2 linked regions of the Callithrix jacchus genome follow. The protein of the gene in region 1 binds, or shares a complex with, the protein of each later gene. Links are inferred from orthologs where the notes say so. Each region holds a gene or a part of one and is shown in the gene's direction. Other genes may lie near its edges.

Region 1 (8,258 bases):
CCACTAGGGGCAAGACAAATAGGTCCTCTATCAAGACCCCTGAAACATTTGTACCTACAGCCCCTGAGCTCCAGCCTTCCACCTCCACAAACCAACTTGTCACCCATGAGTTTACGTCTTGGGCTACTAGGGGCAGGACAAATAGGTCCTCTGTCAAGACCCCTGAATCAACTGTCCCTGTAGCCCCTGAGCTCCCACCTTCCACCTCCACAGACCAGCCTGTCACCCCTGAGCCCACATCTCGGACCACTAGGGGCAGGACAAATAAGTCCTCTGTCAAGACTCCTGAATCAGTTGTATCCACAGCCCCTGAGCTCCAACCTTGCACCTCCACAGACCAGCTTGTCACCCCTGAGCCCACATCTCAGACCACTAGGGGCAGGACAAATAAGTCCGCTGTCAAGTCCCCTGAATCAGTTGTATCCACAGCCCCTGAGCTCCAACCTTGCACCTCCACAGACCAGCTTGTCACCCCTGAGCCCACATCTCGGGCTACTAGAGGAAGAAAAAATAGATCCTCTGTCAAGAACCCTGAACGAGTTATCTCCACAGCCCCTGAGCTCCAGGCCTCCACCTCCACAGACCAGCCTGTCACCCCTGAGCCTACATCTCAGGCTACTAGGCGAAGAAAAAATAGGTCCTCTGTCAAGACCCCTGAAACAGTAGTCCCCATAGCCTCTGAGCTCCAGGCTTCTGCCTTCACAGACCAGCCTGTCACCCCTGAGCCCACATCTCAGGCTACTAGGGGAAGAAAAAATAGGCCCTCTGTCAAGACCCCTGAAACAGTTGTCCCCATAGCCTCTGAGCTCCAGGCTTCTGCCTCCACAGACCAGCCTGTCACCCCTGAGCCCACATTTCAGGCTACTAGGGGAAGAAAAAATAGGTCCTCTGTCAAGACCCCTGAAACAGTTGTCCCCATAGCCTCTGAGCTCCAGGCTTCTGCCTCCACAGACCAGCCTGTCACCCCTGAGCCCACATCTCAGGCTACTAGGGGAAGAAAAAATAGGCCCTCTGTCAAGACCCCTGAAACAGTTGTCCCCATAGCCTCTGAGCTCCAGGCTTCTGCCTCCACAGACCAGCCTGTCACCCCTGAGCCCACATCTCGGACCACTAGGGGCAGGACAAACAGGTCCTCTGTCAAGACCCCTGAATCAGTCGTACCCACAGCCCCTGAGCTCCAGGTTTCTGCCTCCACAGTTCAACCTGTAACCCCTGAGCCTACATCTCAGACCACTAGGGGCAGGACAAATAGGTCCTCTGTCAAGACCCCTGAATCAGTTGTCCCTATAGCCCCTGAGCTCCAGCCTTCGACCTCCAGAAACCAGCTTGTCACCCCTGAGCCCACATCTAGGGCCACTAGGGGCAGGACAGATGGGTCTTCTGTCAGGACCCCTGAACCAGTTGTCCCCACAGCCCCTGAGCCCCTTCCTACAACCTCCATAGACCAGCCTGTCACACCTAAGCCCACATCTAGAGCCACTAGAGGAAGAGTAAATAGGTCCTCTGTCAAGACTCCCAAACCAGTTGAACCAGCAGCCTCTAATCTTGAGCCTCTTATCCCCACAGACCTGCCTGTCACCCCTGAGGCCATAGCTCAGGGTAGTCAGAGCAAAACACTGAGGTCTTCTATAGTAAGTGCTGTGTCCGTTCCTACCACCCTTGAATTCCAGTCCCCTGTTACCACAGATCAGCCTATTTCCCCTGAGCCTATTCCTCAAGCTAGTTGCAGCAAGAGGCAGAGAGTCATTGGGAATCCTGGCTCCCTCAAAACTCCCATTGACCATAAGCCTTGCTCTGCACCCCTGGAAACTAAATCCCAGGCCTCAAGGAACCAAAGATGGGGAGCAGTTAGAGAAGCTGAATCCCTTACAGCCATTCCTGAGCCTGCCTCTTTCCAGCTTCTTGAGACACCAACTCATGCCTCCCAGATCCAAAAGGTGGAAGCAGTAGGTAGATCTAGGTTTACCTCAGAGCCCCAGCCTAAGGTCTCTCAAAGCCGCAAGAGGGCTTTTGCTACCACGGATTCACCACCACTTCAAAAACAGCCCCGAAGAGAAGTCTCCCAGAAGACAGTGTTTCTCAAGGAAGAGTTAGAAGATACTACAGAGAAGCCAGGGAAAGAAGAGGTGAGGAGAAGGCTGGGACCACAAAGCTGGGAAAAAGGGCTTCAGGGCTCTGAAACTCCCACTAAGATTTTTCTCTATCTCAGGATGTCATGACTCCAAAACCAGGCAAGAAAAAGAGAGACCAGGCAGAGGAGGAGCCCAATAGCATACAGAGCCGCAGCCTCCGACGGACCAAATTTACCCGGGAATCAACAGCCCCCAAAGTAAGAGACAAGGGCATGAGACTTTGTGGGAGACAGAGATGAGGGGAGGATACAAGGAGACCTCGGGGACTGTAGAGATGCTGATGGCATAGGTTGCTGTGACCACCTCAGGCCAACCCTTCCACAGGTGCTCTTCACAGGAGTGGTGGATGCCCAGGGAGAGCGGGCCGTGCTGGCACTGGGGGGAAGTCTGGCTGATTCAGCGGCAGAGGCTTCCCACCTGGTCACTGATCGAATCCGCCGGACAGTCAAGTTCCTGTGTGCCCTGGGGCGGGGAATCCCCATTCTCTCCCTGGACTGGCTGCATCAGGTGAGAGGCCAAGAGATGATGACAGACCAATATAGTGACAAGACTGCTCATGTAGCACCCTAGAAAATGGTAGGGAGGAAGAGGAGTTACAGGAAGACAGAGACATTAGTGAGGCAGGAGCCTGAATTTATTTAAAAGATATTTTGTGAGCTCTCTATAAATGCTAGGCAGCAGAGCTGGGTGAGGGGCTGGGCTGAGTTTTGATGCTGACTGCTGCCATCCTTAGTCCCGCAAGGCTGGTTGCTTCTTACCCCCGGATGAATATGTGGTGACTGATCCTGAGCAAGAGAAGAACTTTGGCTTTAGCCTTCAAGATGCTCTGAGCCGGGCTCGGGAGCGAAGGCTGCTGGAGGTGAGAGGCTATCTTTTGATTGGTGCTTCAACCCTCCCTCCAGTGCTTCCCAACATACATCTACTGCCTCCACCATTTCTTTCTCTTAGGGCTATGAGATCCATGTGACCCCTGGAGTCCAGCCACCACCACCTCAGATGGGAGAGATCATCAGCTGCTGTGGAGGCACTGTCCTACCCAGCATGCCTCGGTCCTATAAGGTATAGTTAGGATGCTCTGGGTCTGGGTGAGGTGGCAGTGGCAGTTAAAGAGGTGGCTGGAATGGCAACGGTTGGGGGGGGAAATGGAGGTACAGAAAGGAATATAGAGTAGAGAGAGGGTGGGGGAAAAACCTATGGTATAGAAAGGGATAGGAATGAGGAGAGAGATCTGCTGATACCCCTAACAATCATCAATCAGCAGCTTAGTTTAGATTACATTACATTTGCTCCATCTATCTCTTTTTTCCTTTGATTTTCTTTGCCGAAGTATTTTCTTTTTTTTATTCTTTCTTTTTTTCCTTTTTTTTGCTGAAGTATTTTAAAGCAAACTGCCAATATTATATTATTTCTTCCTACATACTTAAGTATACATATTTAAGAAATGTGTACATTTTATTTCATAATCACAGTGACATTATTGATCCAAAACAAAATTAACAATAGTTTATTGATTATTTGCTCACACTCCATTAATAAAATGTCTCCCGGCCAGGCGCGGTGGCTCACGCCTGTAATCCCAGCACTTTGGGAGGCCGAGGCCGGTGGATCACCAGGTCAAGAGATCGAGACCATCCTGGTCAACATGGTGAAACGCCGTCTCTACTAAAAATACAAAAAATTAGCTGGGCATGGTGGCGCGTGCCTGTAATCCCAGCTACTCAGGAGGCTGAGGCAGGAGAATTGCCTGAACCTAGGAGGCGGAGGTTTCGGTGAGCCGAGATTGCGCCATTGCACTCCAGCCTGGGTAACAAAAGTGAAATTCCATCTCAAAAAAAAAATAATAATAAAATAAAATAAATAAAATGTCTCCTGTTGTCTGAAAAATGTCTCTATACAGTTGTTCAAATCAGGATTCGAATAAGGTCCACATACTGCCACATCTATTACCCTCTGAATTCTCTTTACTCTAGAGCATTCCTTAACTCACCCAGCCTTTATTATACCATCAATTTCCTGCAGAAACTGGGTCACTTTTCCTTTAGAATGTTCCTCAGTATGGATTTTTGAGTTTGCCTCCTTGTTGTATCTTGTTCCTCTGTGTTCCATATTCCTGGAAATTGTAGATAATTGTAAAAGCTTGAATAAATTGATTTCATCTTTCTAGCAAGAGTATTTCTTTCTTTTTTTTTTTTTTTTTTTGAGACTGAGTCTCGCTTTGTTGCCAGGCTGGAGTACAGTGGTGCTATCTCTGCTCACTGCAACCTTCCCCTCCTGGATTCAAGCGATTCTCCTGCCTCAGCCCCCAGAGTAGCTGTGACTACAAGCATGCGCCACCACACCCAGCTAATTTTTGTATTTTTAGTAGAGACGGGGTTTCGCCATGTTGGCCAGGATGGTCTCCATCTCTTGACCTCATGATCCACTCACCTCGACCTCCCAAAGTGCTGGGATTACAGGCATGAGCCACCATGCCCAACCTCTAGCAAGAATATTTTATAGACAGTTTGCAGTATGCTTCACGTGGCTTCATATTAGGAGGTACTATTTTAGTGATACTAAGACTGGTTAGTGGGTCCAGAACCCATTTTTAGGATTCTTTTTCACCCCTAATTTTGTTTTTGCTCTGTCTTCCCCAGCCTCAGAGAGTTGTGATCACATGCTCCCAGGACTTCCCTCGATGCTCTGTTCCACGACGGGTTGGGCTGCCCCTCCTCTCACCTGAGTTCCTGCTGACTGGAGTGCTGAAGCAGGAAGCCAAGCCAGAGGCCTTTGTCCTTTCCCCTTTGGAGATGTCATCCACCTGAGACCTCCACTACCCTTTTACCTCCATTAAATAAAATATTAGAAGATATTTGGAAGAAAGAACTTAGGACGTTAGAAAGGATTGGGGTATATTGATATGACTTGTCCTGGAACATAGGGTGGGACCAGAAATATTTATGAATAAATGAAAAGATAAGGCAATTGGGACCACAGAGTTTTTGTTTTTTTTTTTAATGGCCATTTTATTTTATCTCTACTTGTATGTTTTTATTTGTATAGATTTAGGGGCTACAAGAGCAGATTTCTTGCATGCATTTATTAAATGGCCATTTTAAAATGAGCTTGTTTCATGCTCAGATGTCTTAAGTGGCAGCTATCTTTAGCCAGACTGTTATTGCTTGTTGGTACTCACGGTGTCCTACCTCCTATTTGGAAACCATCTCTATTGTTTTCTTACTGGGATTCTTACTTTGGGGTCAGGAACTTGAAGGGATGCTTAGAGTGAGTAGATATGAAAGTCCAGTTATAGAGTGCTACTCAAACATTTTTCTCTCTCTCAGTCTCTGGGAGGATCTTTAGCTTTGACTTTGGGCAAGCCTCTGTACTTTTCTGGCCTGCTTTTCCAGAACTTATAAAATTAGACCTTAGGCTTGACCTCTGTGATAAATAAATATTCACTCTGTGCCTTATGTTGTAGTGCAGTTTTTAAAAATGTCTAGGTCTCAAGACAAAGTCAGGGACTTATATTTAATTCATCATTATCTTCTATTTAGGGCAAATTATATAGCATTTCTTAAATTTTTTTTTCTTGAGACAGGGACTTAACTCTGTCACTCAGGCTGGAGTGCAGTGGTGCTGTCTCAGCTCAGTGCAACATCCACCTCCTGGGTTCAAGCAATACTCCCACCTCAGCCTTCCAAGTAGCTTGGACTACAGGCACCCACCACCATGCGCAGCTAATTTTTAATATTTTCTCTTTTTTTTTGTATTGTTTGGTAGAGACGGGATTTCACCAGATTGGCCAGGCTGGTCTCGAACTCCTGACCTCAAATGATCCACCCACCTCAGCCTTCCAAAGTGCTGGGATTACAGTAGAGCCAACATGCCCAGCCAAATTGGGATGTGGAGAAATTAGAATCCTTACACATTGCTGGTAGGAATGTAAAATGGTTTGGCCTCTATGGTAAACGATCTGATGGTTCGTCAAAAAGTTAAACATCTGGCCAGGCACAGTGGCTTACACGTGTAATCCCAGCACTTTGGGAGGCCAAGGTGGGCGGATCACTTGAACTCAGGAGTTCAAGACCAGCCTGGGCAACATGGCAAAACCTTCTCTACCAAAAATACAAAAATTGGCCTGGCATGGTGGCACATGTCTGTGGTCGCAGCTACTTGGGAGGCTGAGAGGAAAATCGTTTGAGCCCAGGAGGTCAAGACTGCAGTGAGCTGAGATTGAGCCACTGCACTTCAGCCTGGGCAGGAGAGTGAGACCTTGTCTCAATAAAAAAAAAAATCCTGGTTGTGGTGACTCATGCCTGTAATCCCAGAACTGTGAGAGGCCAAGATGGACAGATCACCTGAGGTCAGGAGTCCGAGACCAGCCTGGCCAATGTGGTGAAACCCATCTCTACTAAAACTACAAAAATTAGCTGGGTGTAGTGGCATGTGCCTGCAATCCCAGCTATTTGGGTGGCTGAGGCAGGAAAATCTCCGGAACCTGGAAGGTGGAGCTTGCAATGAGCCAAGATTTCGCCACTGCACTCCAGCCTGGGTGACAGAGCAAGACTCAGTCTCAAAAAAAAAAAAAAAAAAGCCTCTTTTCTGGCTGGAACCATTTAGGGTGTTGTAGAGAAGAAAAAGAAGGTTCCTACTAGGCCAGAATTTAAAATGCAAAGGAATTTCGCAGAGCCAAAGATCAATGGCCTGAGAAAGAAATTTGCCCAAAAGATGCTTCAAAAAGCAAGATCGCTTATCTATGAAAAAGCAAAGCACTATCACAAGGAATATAGGCAAATGGACAGAACTGAAATTCACGTGGCAAGGATGGCTAGAAAAGCTGGCAACTTCTATGTACCTGCAAAACCCAAAGTGATGTTTGTCATCAGGATCAGAGGTATCGATGCTGAGCCCAAAGGTCTGAAAGCTGTTGTAGCTTCTTTGCCTTTGTCAAATCTTCAGTGGAACCTTTGTGAAGCTTAACAAGGCTTCAGTTAACATGCTGAGGATTGCAGAACGATATATTGCATGGAGGTACCCAAATCTGAAGTCAGTAAATGAACTAATCTACCAGTGTGGTTATGGCAAAATCAGTAAGAAGCAAATTGCTTTGACAGATAACACCTTGATTGCTCAATCTCTTGGTAAATATGGCATCACCTGCATGGAAGATCTGATTCATGCGATCTATACTGTAGGAAAATGCTTCAAAGAAGCAAATAACTTCTTGTGATCCTTCAGATTATCCTTTCCACAAGGTGGAATGAAGAAAAAGACCACCCATTTTGTAGAAAGTGGAGATGCTGGCAACAGGGAGGACCAGATCAACAGGCTTATTAGAATAATGAACTAAGTGGTCTACCATGATTGTTTTTCTAATTAGTCATTTAAATAATACCTGCTCTTAGCCAAGCATGGTGGCTCATGCCTGTAATCCCAGCACTGGGAGGCTGAGGTGGGTGGATCACCTGAGGTCAGGAGTTCGAAACCAACTTGACCAACATGGAGAAACCCTGTCTCTACTAAAAATATTTAAAAAATTAGCCGGGCCTGGTGGTGCATGCTTGCAATCCCAGCTACTTGGAAGACTGAGGCAGAATAATTGCTTGAACCTGGGATGCAGAGGTTGCAGTGAACCGAGATCAAGCCATTGCACTCCAGCCTGGACAACAAGAGCGAAACTCCATCTCAAAAAAAATAAATAAATAAAACAGTACCTGCTCTCTACTTGGAGGGAAAAAAAAGTTAAACATGAAATTACCAAATTATCCAGCAATTCTGCTCTAGGTGAATACCCAAAAGAATTTAAAACAGGTGTCCAGGCTGGGTGTGATGCCTCATGCCTGTAATCCTAGCACTTTGGGAGGCTGAGACAGGAGGATTGCATGATCCCAGGAGTTCATGGGCAACCAGCCTGGGCAACATGGCAAAACCCCATCTTTACAAAAAATACAAAAATGGGTCAGGCATGGTGGCTCATCCCTGTAATCCTAGCACTTTGGGAGGCCAAGGTGGGTGGGTCACCTGAGGTCGAGAGTTCAAGACCAACCTGAACAACATGGCAAAAAGCCCTGTTTCAACTTAAAAATACAAAACTTAGCTGGGCGTGGTGGCATACACCTGTAATCCCAGCTACTCGGGAGGCTG
Region 2 (8,632 bases), on another chromosome or scaffold:
TAGACACTGTAGCCCACTTCTCAGACTCCAAGCTTCTTTTTCTGTATAATCAGCTCAATTTTCACTGGGATATATACACCTCATCACAGCTTTGGGAGAAGCTGACTTCTGTGGCTCTAAGGGTAGGCTCATGTCTTCATCCTAAGATAATTATACTTGTGCCATCTCCTGGCAGCCATTTTTGGTTTATATATGGACATATGATTAAATCACTGAAGCTTCTGGGAAAGGAGTTTTCTTTCCTTTACAAAAGCGCTTCCAAAGGTGATTCTTTTTCCTATCTCTTCTGGACCCAAAAAAACGAAACTTAAAGATACAGGAGTTGTTGGCAACCATCATCTGAAGATAAAGCTAATACTAAAGAAGAAAAAAACAATTAAAATGAGAAAAAATGCCTTTAATGACAACTCTGAGTTGTTGAATCAGTCACCCTTATAGCCTGCCTTTTTCCTGAACTTTCTAGCTAGATGGTTATAAATCTCCTTTATTGATTAAGCCAGTTAGAGCTGGATTTTCTGCTGCTTTCAACCACAAGCATCATAATTCAAAACTTTCCTTTTCCCTTCACCCCAAACATAGGCAATTAGTCACTATGTTCTATTCCCTTGAATAGTGTCTGATTACCCTCAGTTTTCTCTTCTGCCACTGTCAGGCCTTGGCTCAGTCTCTCATTGTTTTTTTCCCCTGTAATACTGTAACCGGCCCCATACATGCCATACTCCACAGAGTGATCTTTCTAAAATGCATTTCTTATCAAAATTTCATCTGCTTACAATCCTTGTGTGGTTCCCATTGTTTCTAGGAAAAAGTCCATGTTCCTTAGCATATCATGCAAAATTCTTCATTACCCTAAGCTGTCTCGCTTACCTTTTTCAGTGTCTCCTCTTGTCACTCCCTCAACTCCATTCAACTATCAGCAATGCTGAACTATTTGCTGAGCCAAAATATGTTTTGGTCTCACATCTCTAGGTCTATGTACTTGCTGCTCTCCCCAACACCACCCCCAATGCTCTCACCCACCTCTCTCTTCCTCCTCCCCTACCAAAATATACAAACATGCTAATTCCTAGTTATCTTAAGTGATCTTTGAAGCATTTCCTAATTTTGCCCAAATCTGGGAGTAGCTGTGCACTTTCCTCTTATAGTAATTCTCATATTAGGTCTATTTACCTGTCTCCTCCTTTGCATAGTAAACATTTTGAAATTAAGAATGTTTCTTTTACATTCTTGTATCTCTATTTCTGGGGCTCAATACAGTGCCTAGCACAAGTAGACACTCAACAAGCATTTTTTGAATGAGTGTATAATTATCTAGTCTGTTGATATAAGGATTTCTGATCTTGAGACTCTATTTGAAAACTCTGCTCCAAATGTGTGTCTGATTCCTAAGCATTAACCTTTTTCTTCCAGGTTAATGGAAGAAAAGGTTGGGGTTCTAGGTAGGCGGAGAAGGAAAACAAAAGAGCTCCGGAGGCATTGCCTTCAGCACTCTGGAGAGCCAGTAATGTGTCCTGCCTTTCTCCACCCTCTTCCCTACCACCTATCCATCCACACCTGGGTGCCCAAGATGGGTGTAGACTTAACTGACCAGCCCAGCAACATACTCATACCTTGGTTCAGACTTCACTTATTACTAAACTAAGGTTGGCCAATACATATAAACAATTTTCTTTCTTTTTTTTTGAGACGGAGTTTCGCTCTTGTTACCCAGGCTGGAGTGCAATGGCACGATCTTGGCTCACCGCAACCTCCGCCTCCTGGGTTCAAGCAATTCTCCTGCCTCAGCCTCCTGAGCAGCTGGGATTACAGACACGCGCCACCATGCCCAGCTAATTTTTTGTGTTTTTAGTAGAGACGGGGTTTCACCATGTTGACCAGGATAGTCTCGATCTCTTGACTTTGTGATTCACCCACCTCGGCCTCCCAAAGTGCTGGGATTACAGGCTTGAGCCACTGTGCCTGGCCAACAATTTTCAACTTGTCTTTTGAACTTATACTTTATGAAATTTGTATGCCTTAAAATGAACAAATCCGGATTCTTTTATAGTAATCAAGTAAAATATAGAAATCTTAATTCTGCACTTTACCTTTGCTAATCTAAAGTTAGATGTTACTAATTGAGCAAAGTAATTAGTTACAGGATTTTGATAGTGGTGATATTCCTAAGTTTTATAACCTAATTGTTCAATTACTGAAATCAACTACGTTTTTACAAGTGTTAGGTAAAGAAAACTGAATTTAGACAGAGAAGATTCAATTGAGGGAAGCGAGGGACAGAGGTATTTGTGACTTAAGAGTTTGTGAAAAATAAATTAGGCAGCAGGGAACACTGAAATATCGAGAGGAAGTTAGATCTCACTGGGCACTTATGAGCGGTGAGGCTAGGAATGGGGTGGAGCGAAGTAGGAAGGACAGGCTAAGAGCTGGATCCACAGCAGCACCATAATACAAGATCGCCCTTGTTCAGCCAACAACAGCACTAAACACGTTCGCTAAGTGTGACCACGGTAACAGTGGGAGGGGCGGCCCAAACCTCGCCCTCGAGCATGCTCAGTGCAGAACGAGCCTGGTCGGGTGCTGAGCAACAATGCATCCCTTTTTTTCTTCAGCTGGGGAACTACAATTCCCAAGAGCCCATTTGGTGCAGCGACACCGCCTCCCGCTGTGGCACTGCCCCGTCCCCTCCCTCAGTCCCCGCCTTCCGGCTAGTCCCCTCCCCTCCCTGAGAGTGTGTGTCAGTGACCCAGAGGTGGTGTGAGGCGGACGGACCGTCGGGGGGCGCCGCCGCTGCCGCCGCCACCAGCAGCAGCAGCGCCAACCGAGCGGCACAGTGGAATTCGTCCCCAGCCCTCGGGGAGCGCATCACAAAGCAGCCCCCACACCTCTCCTTGCGTCTGCGGCTCCTCAGCCCTCGGCTCTGCGGTCAACTTCCCCTCACTGGGCTCGGCCGGCTGGCGCGGAGGGCAGCAGCGAAACGGCGGGCTGTCTGCTCGCGCTCCCCGCGCACAACACTTCACCCTTTTGCCTCGGGTGTCGGGGGCCACGCTTGGATCACGGCCACCAGCAATTGTCCGGTGAGTGTGGCCGCGGGGAGCCCAGGGATGGATGGCGGCGGAGCCGCCGAGGGGCGCGGGGAGGGTGGGTGTGCAACTTCCTCGGCGGCTTCCCCCGGCGACCAGTCTGCCGGCTCTCACCGCCCGCCTGCGCGCCCTCGCGGCGGCGGGGAGCGGAGTTTACGGCGGGCGCCTCCATCCCGCGCCCTGGCAGGAGGAAGCGCCTTTGTCAAGAGCCGGCCCTGCGCGGCCTCCCCCTCCGCCTAGGAGCGGGGTGCGAGGCGGCCAACTCCGAGCCCCGCGCCTAGCAGGCCGCGCACTCCGGTTTCAGCTTCGAGAGGAGAGCTCAGCGGGTAGCGAGGAAAGGGAAATGGGAGAAACAAAAGGGGCGGTGGGTTTCCCTTTTGTTTGTGAGGATCTGATAACTTCTTTTTGTCCCTTACATAACGCAGACTTCCAAGTTAGTCATTCTTTTTACTATGATTGTTGTCATCATCTATGCGCGTCTCTCACATTTCCTTTCATCTTTGGATCTCAGAGCATTTTAAACAAGCTAATTAATTTCACCCCCGGGCTCCCTAGGAAACAAGTTAATACGCCCGTTTCCCTAAGAGGGTAAACTGAGGTCATGGAAAGCTCTCTAACTGATGGATACGCTTGATCTTCTACCGCGCCTGGTGTCTGAGGATATGAAAGCATTTACGAAGAGGAACCCGTTCTCCAATGCCCCGTGGAAAAGTTAAAGATGCTCATTTTACTTACAGGTTAACTGAAGTCCAAAAGAAGTCTACGTAATTGTTATGTAGTTCAAACCATAATTCTTCTTACATAGCGTTCGAATCTTAAAACCATAAAAGACTTATTGAAAAATGCTCCGAGTAGGGAAATTAATGTAAATCATAAACTCACGTCACCATCTACTTTTATTTTTGTACGTGTAGGTCTCTTAGAGGCAAGAGAGCAAGAATGGAAAAGAGTGCAGAGGTTTTTTTTAAAAATGTACAGTACATTTAACAGATTTTAATCACTACACACAAGGAAATGTGTCTTGGTTTTAACAGCACCGACAATATTCCTGTCGTTTAGTCATCAAACAGTATATCAACAAATATTATTGAGCACTTTATTCATAAGGTGCTGGTTGTGCTAAAAACTGAAGCTTTGTGTATAAGAAAAGGTCATCTGTTTCAGTTCAGACTCTTTACTTTTTCTTACTCTGCAAAATGTTACTTTGTTTTCATTGCACATAATCTTTTGTTTCAGAAATGGCATTGTCCCTTACTATGTTGAATATGTATTACTCTTATACTTAAGGAGATATGAATTCATTATTCAGTTTTCATAATAGGGTGAATTTAAAATTTTTTAATTGCGGAAGATGTTCACGTTATTCAGTTGTTTCAGTTTTTCTGTTTCCTTTATAGCCAACAGAAAATATTTTCTGAGTGATCAGATTTACATGTCTCGAAACATAAAATGTTGTTCTTATTAACAGCATATGAATTCCTTATGTTTTTTTTTTCTCTTTTTTTGCGACAAGTCTCACCCAGACTGGAGTGCAGCGGCAGGATCTCGGCTCACTGCAACCTCCGCCTCCTTGGTTCAGGCATTTCTTTGCCTCAGCCTCCCAAGTAGCTGGGATTATAGGCACCCGCCACCACACCCAGCTAATTTTTATATTTTTAGTAGAGACAGGGTTTCACCATCTCGGCCAAGGCTGATCTTGAACTCCTGACCTCGTGATTCACCTGCCTCGGCCTCCCAAAGTGCTGGGATTACAGGCATGAGCAACAGCGCCCAGCCTCCTTATGCTTTTTTTTTTTTTTTTTTTTTTATACCAACAACCTTTTCTGGAGAAAAATCTTTAACTCTGAGGACCTTGTTTATTTTGTGAGTTGTTATTTTCTCTGTACCAACTGGAAAGTACCAAAAAATTAAATCAAGCATCACTTCTACTAGCTCTTTCCTCAGGTGAATAATGATCAGAACTATAGTAACAGTGAATTTCACCTACTCTAAATTCTCTTAATGTTGTACTGTGTATTTGTCCTTACATTTTAGATTTTGGTGGTTGCATCAGAAAATGAAAATGAGATGTTCGTTATTTTGTTATTCCCGCCTGTCCGCCCCCCCACCCCAGCCTAACCTGTTCCCTCTCTGGTATGTTAAAAGAGATCTTGAGTTTAAAACAAATAATTGGAAAGGAAAACAGTTATATGTATAGAAAGTTGCATGTAGTGAAGTGGTATAATGTCTCGTCTAGTGAATTTAACAGGTTTTAAAGAGAGAACTATCACCTAGCTTTTTATTAGCATGGTAGAAGTGCTGTAATGTAATAGTAGTAGTATTTATTGACTTCTACAAAGTAAGCTGGAAATTTGCCTCAGTGGAATTTGCAGGGGAAGTAACTCCGTCCTTTCCTTAAGATTGGCATTTAAATGTTCTTACTGTTGGTTATGCTGAACTTTTTCTGTCGTATTTGCAAGCCAGATTTACCAGGGACATTTGTACTTTAAGGAGGCTACTAATGCTGTCTTGACTTAGTCACTGGAGTCTGCAGGCAGAAGTTAGTGTTGACTGGCAAAGTCTGGCTGTGCAAGTTTCATAATTTCTTTGAGACTCCTGAAAGGAATGACTGAAAAGTATGGGACAGGAAGCTAGTCCAGTACTGCTGAATGCCACTGAGGCAAGTTTCAAAGGGGAAGCCCAAGGATGTTTCCATTTGATTTAGCTTTAGCCTCTTTCTGGGTTGTCAGAATGTCACTTTTGTATTTTAAGAATTCTGTCATTTCAGAATATGATTTATTATGGTTTTTTAGTAGGTCAGGTGATAAGGACTATAGACAGTTATTATGCTTTGTGGACAACTAATGTTTTTTGTTATTTATTTATTTATTGCATTTTAGGTTTTGGGGTACATGTGCAGAACATGCAAGATAGTTTCATAGGTACACATGTGGACAACTAATGTTTTTAGACAGAACCTTCTGTAGCTGATAAAGATTTTAAGCCAAAAGACTTAGAATTGAAAACTAACATATACATATAATTTTACCATAGTACATCAATGTAAACCTATCCTGTATTTATTAAGTTAGAAAGGCTTATATGGATTATTTTATTATACAAACATATTTAACAGTATATATTAAAATTTCATAGTGACCAATATATGATGGCACTGAGGTGGCTTGAGGAGTTTCTTTGAGGGGGAAAAAAGTGTAATTCCAAAAGTTACATTTATGTTTTTGAGGAGAATAAAGCAGATTTAAGAGCCAGTGGAAAACAGAAGAAAATCAACAAAGTGAAAAAAAACTAATGAAGATGTTTTTAAATAATATAATATGAAGATTCCTGGCAACATTCATATATGAGGGACAAAATTCTAGTTGAAGTCTATAAACAGTGAATTCCAGTTAGCACTTTCTGTTTATAGATTTCTAGCCATCTTTTCCAGATTCCCTCTGAATATATTACACAGGAAATGTAAATAGAAGTCATTCTTTCAAGGGACTTGGGTTCTTAGAGATTTTTTTTACACTTGTGGTAGTGGGGGAGGGGAGGTACTTAACTACATTTTCTTAGTTCAAGTGTGACCTCTGCCATAGAAAATTTCCCCAGACTAATGTGTGGCAACTTCAAGACAAGAAATATTGGTCACTGAAAGATCTGGATATGATTTCAAGTTCTGCCACTAGCTTTTGTTTTTTTTTTTTTGGTATGTTATCTTAAATAGATCACTTATATTTTTTCTTCAAAGGTTGAAAATAACTGCCTAACATATTATGTTTAGTAGGTCCTAAATACTTTTTGTTGTTTAATGAATTTACAGGTAATAAAGAGAAGGCACAATGCTTTTTGAATGTCAGGGATTTCTATTTTTTTTTCTTTTTTGATAGAAAAAGTAATCAAAACATAAACTTCTGATTGGAGTCTTTTTTTTTTTATTTGAGGTGGAGTCTTGCTCTGTTGCCAGGCTGGAGTGCAGTGATACAGTCTCAGCTCACTGCAACCTCCACCCCCTCTAGGTTCAAGTGATTCTCCTGCCTCAGCCTCCTGAGCAGCTGGGACTACAGGCATGTGCCACTACACCCAGCTAATTTTTGCATTTTTAGTAGAGCTGGGGTTTCACCATGTTGGCCAGGATGATCTTGATCTCTTGACCTTATGATCCGCCCACCTCAGCCTCCCAGAATGCTTGGATTACAGATATGAGCCACCATACCCAACCTGGAGTCTTTCAATTAGCATAGCTACCTTTGGAAATAAGCCTAGAGAAAAAGAGCTTCATCTGATAGTTTAACAGAAATGAATTGTAAATGACTCTAAGAAGAATTGACAGCTTTTTCAGAATGTTGTACCAGATGTTTCAGATTCTTTTTGCTACATAAAGTCCATTTCAGAGAAATGGGGTTCTACATAGTACTCTGATATCACCCCTGTAATACTTTTACACCTCAAAATACCAGTTGCAGGAAAATAGAATGTGTTGCTGATGCCTATAAATGGGAAAATCCTGACATCTGTCTTCATCCTCCAGTTAATCTTGACTGTTCATGTAGTTTTTTAAAAAATTAATTTAACACATGTAATTTACTTCCTTTTCAGAGAATTTGTTGCTGATTTTTATTTTATAATGAACCTCTTGGGATGTTGCTAATTCTAAAAATATGTAATACCCCCCTTTTCCCACCATCTTCTGCAGTTTCTTTTTCTATTATTTTTTTGGCTACAGTTTTCTTTTTCCCCTAAACTGTCTAAAATAAACTAAGAAATGTTTAAGTATAGTTGACAAGAAACACAGTCAGTAATTTATCATGCAAATGTCAGCATACAAGGTGCAATGAAATCTGTTTTAGAGATAGTACACTTCTGAAGGGGGCTGAAGCAGGGACAGCAAATAAATTTCATTTGGGGTACCAAATCTGATTGTTTAGTGGTGGCTGCTTAGAGTGCTGTGTTGAGAAAACTGGGAGTCCTTGTTCAGACTTAACAGGAAAGAGTGCTGTGATTAGCAATTTCTGCTGTTGGTGAGCAGTGGACTTTTGGCATGGATGCCAAGTACATTCAATATTTATTGGATGCCTTTTACATGTCACAGGTCTAGATGCTGATACCTCACAGACTAATTTCTGCCTTCATGGTGTTTACATTCTACTAACAAGACACAAACTATGAAATAAATTAAATACTTTGTGTTTTAAGATGGCTCACACCTGTAATCCTAGCTCTTTGGGAGGCTGACGTGGGAAGACCCCTCTTGCCCAGGAGTTCAAGACCAGCCTGGGCAACATGGTGAGATCCTGTCTCTACAAAGAAATTTTTTTAATTAGCTGGACATGGTCCCAGCTACTCAGGAAGCTGAGGTGGGAAGATCACTTAAGTATGGGAGGCCAAGGCTGCAGTGAGCCATAATTGCATCACTGCACTCCATCCTGGGCAACAGAGTGAGACCCTGTCTCAAAAAAATAAAAATTAAAAAAATAAATAAAAGAAAAATGACCTAGTTTCTTAAAAAAAAATTAATAGCAAGAAATAAGAGAGGGAGGGAAAACTATAAGATTGAAGGAGACTTGAGA

What was found.
Region 2: the proteins of MDC1 (region 1) and PELI1 are in contact, whole or in part, in a crystal structure (PDB 9IF9), measured with the Homo sapiens proteins. The link is inferred for Callithrix jacchus from reciprocal best matches to the Homo sapiens genes MDC1 and PELI1. Residues at the interface, in NP_055456.2 of Homo sapiens: Glu761, Asp762, Ser763, Glu764, Thr765, Gln766, Pro767, Phe768, Asp769; in NP_065702.2 of Homo sapiens: Arg104, Ser105, Thr106, Glu107, Thr115, Asp116, Val130, Gln131, Ser132, Thr133, Ile134, Ser135, Arg136, Phe137, Thr185, Asn186, Thr221, Arg222, Ser223, Ala224, Cys247.

The regions. Positions count from the first base shown.
Region 1 is NC_133505.1:35,493,518-35,501,775, reverse strand, and holds the end of MDC1 (mediator of DNA damage checkpoint protein 1), read left to right. Parts: coding exon 1-2,126; intron 2,127-2,209; coding exon 2,210-2,329; intron 2,330-2,456; coding exon 2,457-2,639; intron 2,640-2,865; coding exon 2,866-2,991; intron 2,992-3,080; coding exon 3,081-3,191; intron 3,192-4,768; coding exon 4,769-4,936; 3' UTR 4,937-5,584; downstream 5,585-8,258. UniProt on the Homo sapiens protein: Histone reader protein required for checkpoint-mediated cell cycle arrest in response to DNA damage within both the S phase and G2/M phases of the cell cycle.
Region 2 is NC_133515.1:49,793,438-49,802,069, forward strand, and holds the start of PELI1 (E3 ubiquitin-protein ligase pellino homolog 1), read left to right. Parts: upstream 1-2,737; 5' UTR 2,738-3,074; intron 3,075-3,667; exon of another isoform or gene 3,668-3,817; intron 3,818-8,632. UniProt on the Homo sapiens protein: E3 ubiquitin ligase catalyzing the covalent attachment of ubiquitin moieties onto substrate proteins. Involved in the TLR and IL-1 signaling pathways via interaction with the complex containing IRAK kinases and TRAF6.